2 linked regions of the Oryctolagus cuniculus genome follow. The protein of the gene in region 2 interacts with the protein of the main gene of each other region in a pairwise test. Links are inferred from orthologs where the notes say so. Each region holds a gene or a part of one and is shown on either strand. Other genes may lie near its edges.

Region 1 (4,003 bases), on a different chromosome or scaffold from region 2:
AGTGCCTGCCTAGGTGTGTGGGTAACCGACCCTCCCAGTTTGCAACTGAGACGTCTCCTGGGGCGGGGGCTTACAGTGCCAGCCGGGTAAACCAGGCTTGCTGACCAATGAACCGAATGCAAGGGGTCTTCGGATAGCTCATGGAAAGGAACATGCATGGGTTTTTTTGCATGTAATAAACTTAATTGCATTTTGCCATGAATTGTTTTCAAGTACCTTCATCCATCCAAGTCTAAATTACTTTTCAAGGCCCACGTGATTGAAAGTGCCTTGTTGCATGTATTTTTGTCCTAATTCATGTTTCAAGTAAATACACTTACTTGGCTGTTTACAAATGTTGTTTATTTCTTCCTTTCCAATAGTCCTACCCATCTAATTACATGGAGTCGATGAAGCCCAACAAGTATGGGGTCATTTACTCTACACCATTGCCTGATAAGTTCTTTCAGCCCCCAGAAGGCCTGTCGCACGGGATCCAGATGGAACCGGTGGACCTCACGGTGAACAAGCGGAGCTCGCCGCCTTCCGCTGGGAATTCGCCTTCATCCCTGAAGTTCTCGTCCTCGCATCGCCGAGCCTCGCCCGGGTTGAGCATGCCTTCCTCTAGCCCGCCCATCAAGAAATACTCGCCGCCCTCGCCAGGCGTGCAGCCCTTCGGCGTGCCGCTGTCCATGCCGCCGGTGATGGCAGCTGCTCTCTCCCGGCACGGCATCCGGAGCCCAGGGATCCTGCCCGTCATCCAGCCAGTCGTGGTGCAGCCCGTCCCCTTCATGTACACGAGTCACCTCCAGCAGCCGCTCATGGTCTCCTTGTCAGAAGAGATGGAAAATTCGAACAGCAGCATGCAAGGTAACTTCCTCCGCTGAGCCGAGCAGCTGCACCGGCGTGGTAGACTGTGCGCCAGCGTACTATGAGAAAGCACAGAGCACACTTTCTTCAAAGGAAATACTGGCCTGCCTCGGGCATTTCCTTTTGATTCTGTTGAAGTGTTGATAGTGGGAGAGCTCCCAAGGATCAGGCTGTCTGTCTAATACCGTGCAGTAATTACCTTCACTATATGATTGTCAGCTTTGGGATAGTCACGGTCTTGATTTCATAATTTTGTGTTATTGAATGCCAGCATGGTTCTAGGTACAGAAAGGCATTTAATAAATACTTTTTGATCGTGGTGGTAATTAAAAGCTGCCTTGTATACCAGCTGGTCTTAGCCAGAGGAGTATGGGGTGGAAGGTGGAATCCAAAAATCCCAAGAGAAAGTCCTTTTTGGAGAATTCTGAGTCTCTGCATTTGCTGCTTGCTGGCACGGTAATGATCAGAAGAAACGAGAATCCTTCCCACCCCCCGCCACCACCTAGTTGTGTCCCTTTTATATATAACTTTGCCAAAGGCAAATCGATACTCACACCTCAGTACTGTGAATAGGAACTGCGCAGTAAACTCTTAAGAGCTGAAATTGGTAAATTGTACATAGACTGACTCTTGCATTCTTATTTTTTAGTACCTGTAATTGAATCATATGAGAAGCCCATATTACAGAAAAAAATTAAAATAGAACCTGGGATCGAACCACAGAGGACAGATTATTATCCTGAAGAAATGTCACCCCCTTTAATGAACTCAGTGTCCCCCCCGCAAGCATTGTTGCAAGAGTAAGTATGCTGAGGCCTACCCGGGATGGCCATAGTGGCACACGTCTTGGGACCTGGCGTGGAGGGACCAGATTTCAAATGTGTGATGTACTGTGAATGACCACTGGGCAGTGGCTCAGTATCGCTGGTCAGCATGGGAGAAGTCCTCCAAAAACACTGTGTGCTCTGTTGCACGGACAACATGAGCACAAGTTATGCTGAGTTTCCATCAGTTATGTACCCATGATCCTGCACCCTACCACAGGAAGCATTTTTGTTTTTTTTTTTCACCCTTCTGGGCTATGGATACATAGTTTCCCCATACCTACAATTCTGGCCTAGCTTGAATTTGGTGATCTGGATAGGCAACTTAAACTTGGATTGTGAAAAGTTTTCATGTGGATACATCTAGCACTCCAAGTTAGCACTTCTAATCAATCAAGTATATGGTTTCTACCATGAGGAATGTCAAAATCTACAGGCCACGCACAAGCCCAAGAGAGACACTCCAAAACAAGTTCTATAAACAGTGGTGGCAGCAGGAAGTTGTCCCTGGAGCACAGAGAAGCTTAGCTTTGAAAGAACTCTTCATTTTCGGGTCTTTTCAATCACATGTGCTCACAGAATATTCCTTCTGTGGAATGGCCAGCCAGCAGGAGGCTTGCCCTGTATCGGTCAGCATCAAGCGCCTGAGTGGGGGTATGTGTTAGGTCCACCAGGCTGGTACCTTGGTCCCTCCCTGGGGTTAAGTCATGTCATTGGTAGGATTTGCCACTGTGGCGCTCTCTGCCGTCTCCCCGTGGTTATGGTGGAGGCCATTGTTATTGATCATGATTGGTGGTGGTGGTGTAACTTTGTCTGTGTTGTGGTGCTTCGGCATTGGACTCAGCGGCCAGCTTCCTGTCCCCGCACTTTCCCAACTTGACCAAACGTGCCACCCACCTTTCCGCCGATCTTGTCCACTCCTCTCCCCTGCCCAGTTACCTGCAGCAGAATGTGAATTGTCTGGCTGTAGAGCCTCTCTTTCTAGTACCTCCATGTACGTTCTCATCATAGCCACATTCAGCTCAGAGGGGCGCCTCCATCGTCACTTGTTTTCTGCTGTGCCAAATCATCGTTCTTTCTTGGTTGTCCCAGACTCCCTGATGGATGAAGAAGAGCATGGATCTTCTTTCCCAGCCACAGCCAGTGGGGAGAGGGTCTGTGCTGCAGTTGTATGTTAGGCTTCACCGTGGCACACAGCCCATTCCACTTTCCCAAGTGTTTTCAAAGGAATTCTCGCATGCGCCTGTAACAGGCATGTGGGAGCCGGATCAGATGAGAACTGAGAAGCCAAGCATTAGGTAGCTGGTCTGTAAGCACACTGTTAGCAACCAGGGGGGACCCAGGCCCAAGCACTTGCTTCTGGTACAGTGGTCTTCCTGCCTTCTCATCCATTTCCCACCCACGGCCTGTGCTTGCGTGCGAGGAAAAGTAGGGTGACTAAGCAGAAGAGACATCTTGTAGGCTGAGGGACCTCCTGATGACGGGGGTGGCTCTGGCAAGGTAGCTTGCAACATGACATGCACTTGTAATTGTTCCTGTCCGCGTGAGGGAAAAATGCCATGGAGCTGAAGCCAGGCGCCTGCCTGCGCAGGGAGGGCGCGTTGACGGAACAGGAATTGTTCCAAAGTCGAGGTTACTGCGCACGGCAGAGCAAAGCACGACAGAAGGCCATCTGAAGGCAGTGTTACGTGCTGTGAATGCTGCCGAAAGAGAAAACTTTTTTCCTTGCCTGTTCCATGTTCTTCTGATGATCTCAAGCTCAGTACCCTTTAATGATTAATGAGTAAAGCGCTCATTTGAATGCTGACCTCAGAATGCAGTGTGCGCCTCAGAAAAATTCAGCACATCAGCCACAACTGGGACGCGCGCTCTTTGAGTAGTTCCCTCGCAGATGTTATTAAGTCATGTCTTGGAGTGGGCCCAGTAGCAGCCCACACTGGAAACCTTGTAGCCAGGGAAGTCACTGGAAACAGGCGCCCCTGTGGTGAGGCAGCCCCAGTAATATTTGCCTTCGCAAACCCTCCTTTCTAGAGGCTGACTTTACGAGACAGCTGTAAAATCCTTTGGCTTGACCCTAGTTATGGCAAACAGCATGGCTGTTTGGGACGCTCAAAGGTGTATCGGATTCCTTTTGTCGTATCTTGGCGAATATGTGAAATCTGTGTTTGGAACGAAGAACTTGGGGATCCATTTTCCCTCTTGAGCTGAGACATGACCAAATGGAAAGACCATAGAGTGTGAGACCCCAGGACCCCCATCTGTAGCTTCAGCTTGACCCGGCGTCAGGCTCCCGGAGAGCAGGGCTGCTGACCACACTCTGAATGTGGCTG
Region 2 (4,003 bases):
CAGTGGCCCAAGTCCTTGAGCCATCAGCTGCTGCCTCCCAGGTCCATTAGCAGCGAGCTGGATGGGAAGCAGAGGGACCAGGCACTCTGTTTTGTGTTGTGTGTGTCCCACGCGGTGCTTTGACTGCCCCCATTATCTTCCCATCTTCCATGAACTTCCTCAAGCATTGGCATACGCGTAATCGTGCAGCATGTCTTTTTGTGACTGGCTTGTTTCAGTTAGCATAACGTGCACTGTCTGTGTGGTGGTAGAATCTCCCTCCTGTTTATGGCTGAGGGATACTCCACTTTGTGTCCAGCAGTCCTTCCCGGAGATGGGTGGGGGGTTGGCTCCAAGACTCCCACCCACCCCCGTACACAGCCTCCTAATGCATTGACTTCCAACACCAACACCTCATGCAGTGTAGGTGCTGCATGGATAGTTGTTCTGCTGTGTTGTTAAGAGAATCTTGATGAAAAAGAAAGTCCATGTGTTCAGTACAGGCAGTGTTTATCTTTTTTTTTTTTTTTTTTAAGATTTATTTATTTTTATTTGGAAGAGTTACACTGAGAGAGGAGAGAGAGAGAGAGAGAGAGGTTCTCCATCCGATGATTCACTCCCCAATTGGCTGCAATGGCCAGAGCTGGGCCAATCCAAAGCCAGGAACCAGGAGCTTTTTCTGGGTCTCCCTGGCGGGTGTAGGGGCCCAAGAACTTGGGCCATCTTCTACTGCTTTCCCAGGCCATAGCAGAGAGCTGGATTGGAAGTGGAGCAGCCGGGTCTTGAACCAGCACCCACGTGAGATGCCAGCACTTCAGGCCAGGCCAGGGTGTTAACCTGCTGCGCCACAGCGCCGGCCCCTACCTTTCTCCCAGTATTTCCAACCTTGGTGGAATCAGTGGATACAGGAAGGAGCTGACTGTCTGTCTCATTTCTGCACTCATCTGTCAGCAGACACTGGTCGCTCCCACGCCTTCGCTGTCGGGAACGATGCTGCTCTGAATGTGGTCTTTAAGCTTGCTAACTTTGTCTTCTCCTCTGCACACTGGGACAGGGGGCCCTGCCTCTGCTGGGCCTCAGTGCTGGGTGGCTCACTGCTGCCCCCCTAGCTGGGCTCCCGGCCAAGCCCGCTAGGACTGTAGGTGCTGTGTGACCCTAACCGTGCTCCTCCTCATCCCCAGCCCCCTGTCCCGGAGAAGCGGCCTCCTGAAGTGCAGCACTTCCGCATGAGTGATGATGTCCACTCGCTGGGGAAGGTGACCTCCGGTCAGTCCCGTGTCCTGCGGCCCACCCCTGCCCCGTTGTTGACATGGCCTTGCCTGAGGCTTTGACAGTACAGGCCTCACTGCTCACCTCTCTCTCTCTTTCTCTCTCGTTCCCTCTTTCCCTCCCTCCCTCCCTCTCTCTCTCTCTATCTCTCCTCTTCCAGATGTGGCCAAAAGGAGAAAGCTGAACTCAGGAGGTGGCCTGGTGAGCAAGAGAGCAGGGAGCAAGACCTCTCCCCCCGGGGCTGCTCCAAGGGAGCTGGGGCTGCATCCAGAGAAGTGGGGGGCAGGGGTGGGAGAGCACAGTGGCCTCAATTTCTCTGATCTTTTCCTAGTCAGAGGAGTTGGGTTCTACTCGGGGTTCAGGAGAGGTGACCCTGGAGAAGGGGGACCACAGGTCCCTGGAGGAGTGGGAGACGGTGGTGGGCGATGACTTCAGTCTCTACTATGACTCCTACTCTGTGGATGAGCGCGTGGACTCTGACAGCAAGGTGAGCCGCCTGCCCTCCCGGCTCACGCTCGTCTTTCCCATCCTTCCCTGTTCAGTCTCCCGAGCACCCACTCAGTTTATTGCCCCATGCTGTCTGCAGCTACTTCCAGAGTGTGCTCCACCCCGTCCCCGCCCCCAGCATCCTGTACCTGCGGGTCAGCATCCCATCTTGTTCTGTGTGTGTTTGCTGTTTCCCTGCTCTGGGTTTGGCTTTATCTCATGTTTGCCTACATCATATGTTCAGCCTTGCCCGTTTTGCTCTTTTAACATTTTTGTCATGGAAACTTTCAAGGATACACAGAGGCGAAGAGTGAGCCCCCATACGCCCAGCACCCAGCTCCAGGGTGTTAGTGCAAGCCCATTACTAATACACAGCCATTCTCGACCCATCTATTTCTCCCTCAGCACACGTTGGCTGAATCATTTATTTTATTTTCTCATCTGTTTGAGGGAGATCTTCCATCTGCTGGTGTATTCTCCAAATGCCCACAACAGCCAGAGCTGGGTTGGGCTGAAAGCCAAGAGGTCAGAACTCCATCCGGGTCTCCCACACGGGTGGCAGGGGCACAGGCACTGGGAACATCCTCTGCTGCTTTCCCAGGCACAGTAGCAGGGAGCTGGATCAGAAGCAGAGCAGCCGGGACTTGAATTGGTGCTTATCATATGGGATGCCGGCACTGCAGGTGTCAGCTTGACCTGGCACCAGCTGAATTTTCAAGCAAATCCCAGGCGTCATCATTTTATCCAGAAATATTTCCATGTGTATCTCTGCATATAAATCTACTTTTTGTTTTTTAACATCACTATGCTACTATTTCACGCCTAAAAATATTAGTGATGATTTTTTAATATCATCAAATATCAGTCTTCATACTTTTTCAACTGTTCATAAGCAGTCCAAAATGGAGTCCACATGTTGATTGGTTGACATTTGTCTTAGGTTTCTCTTGATATATGGGTTATGTCATTTTCTTTTTTCTTTATTTCTTTTTAAGATTTGTTTGTTTATTTACTTGAAAGGGAGTAACAGAGAGAGAGAGAGGGAGAAGGGAGTATCCATCCCCTGGTTCACTCCCCAAATGGCCCCAACGGCCAGAGCTCAGCCGGTCTGGAACTAGGAACCAGGAGCTTCTTCCAGGTCTGCCACGTGGATGCAGGAGCCCAAGCACTTGGGCCATGTTCCTTCTCTTTCCCAGGTACATTAGTAGGGAGCTGGATCAGAAGTGAGCAAACAAGACTTGAACTGTCGCCCTATGGGATGCTGGCACCACAAGCCAGGGCATTAACCCGCTGAGCAGCACTAGCCCCTGTGTCATTTTTTTTTTTAAAGATTTATTTATCTATTAGAAAGGCAGAGAGAGAAAGAGGGAGCAAGAGGTCTTCTGTCTGCTGGTTTATTCCCCAGATGGCTGCAGCGGCCAGAGCTGGGCCAGTCAGGAGTCAGGAGCTTCCTCCTGGTCCCCAACGCAGGCGCAGGGGCCCGAGGACTTGAGCCATCTTCTAGTGCTTTCCCAGGCCATTAGCAGAGAGCTGGATGGGAAGTGGAGCAGTCAGGACTCGAACTGGTGCCCATATGGGATGCCGGTACTGCAGGCGGTGGCTTTACCTGCTATGCCACGGCGCCGGCACCATGTGTCATTTTCTTAAAAATCCTTTTTCACACCATTTGGTTATTGAGAAAGTCAGGTCATTTGTCCTGTAGAATTCCTTGCGTGTTGGGTAGGCATGGACACGTTCCTGTCTGCTGGGTAGTCTCTTGTACACTGGTAGATCCAGAAGCTTGCCCAAGCATCCTTTTTTGGCAGGAAGACCAGACAGTGGGTGTGGTGGCCAGGTGCCAGGAGGCATGTCTTCTTTTTCTTGTTAGGAACTGTAAGGTTGACCAGTGGGTTCGGGTGAGATCGACTCAGTCTCTCCGTTGTAAAGTTCCTTGTGATATGTTTGTCATTATGTTGTTGGCTTTTGGGTTTTGTGTTTGTTTTGTTTGTCTTAGTCGGTTTGAGATTCAGAGAGAGAGAGCCCCCATATCTGCTGGTTTACTCCCCAGATGTCTGTAACAGCCGGGGCTGGGCCAGGCTGAAGCTGGGGTGCCAGGGACCTGACTACTTGTGTCACACCCTGCCACCTCCCCAGGTGCACATTAGCAGGAAGTTGGAAATGAGAGCTGACCTGGGGACTCCAGCCGGGCACTCTGATGCGGGATGCAGGTGTCCCAGCTGGTATCAACCCTCAGGCCAAGACACACCCCACACCCCACCCCACCCCTGCT

What was found.
Region 1: the proteins of EHMT2 (region 2) and KLF3 interact in binary tests that used the Homo sapiens proteins (3 or more experiments, as listed by UniProt). The two-hybrid records come from large-scale screens. The link is inferred for Oryctolagus cuniculus from reciprocal best matches to the Homo sapiens genes EHMT2 and KLF3.

The regions. Positions count from the first base shown.
Region 1 is NC_091433.1:32,687,344-32,691,346, forward strand, and holds part of KLF3 (Krueppel-like factor 3), read left to right. Parts: intron 1-362; coding exon 363-849; intron 850-1,498; coding exon 1,499-1,649; intron 1,650-4,003. UniProt on the Homo sapiens protein: Binds to the CACCC box of erythroid cell-expressed genes. May play a role in hematopoiesis.
Region 2 is NC_091436.1:138,647,028-138,651,030, forward strand, and holds part of EHMT2 (histone-lysine N-methyltransferase EHMT2), read left to right. Parts: intron 1-1,160; coding exon 1,161-1,245; intron 1,246-1,408; coding exon 1,409-1,449; intron 1,450-1,579; coding exon 1,580-1,735; intron 1,736-4,003. UniProt on the Homo sapiens protein: Histone methyltransferase that specifically mono- and dimethylates 'Lys-9' of histone H3 (H3K9me1 and H3K9me2, respectively) in euchromatin.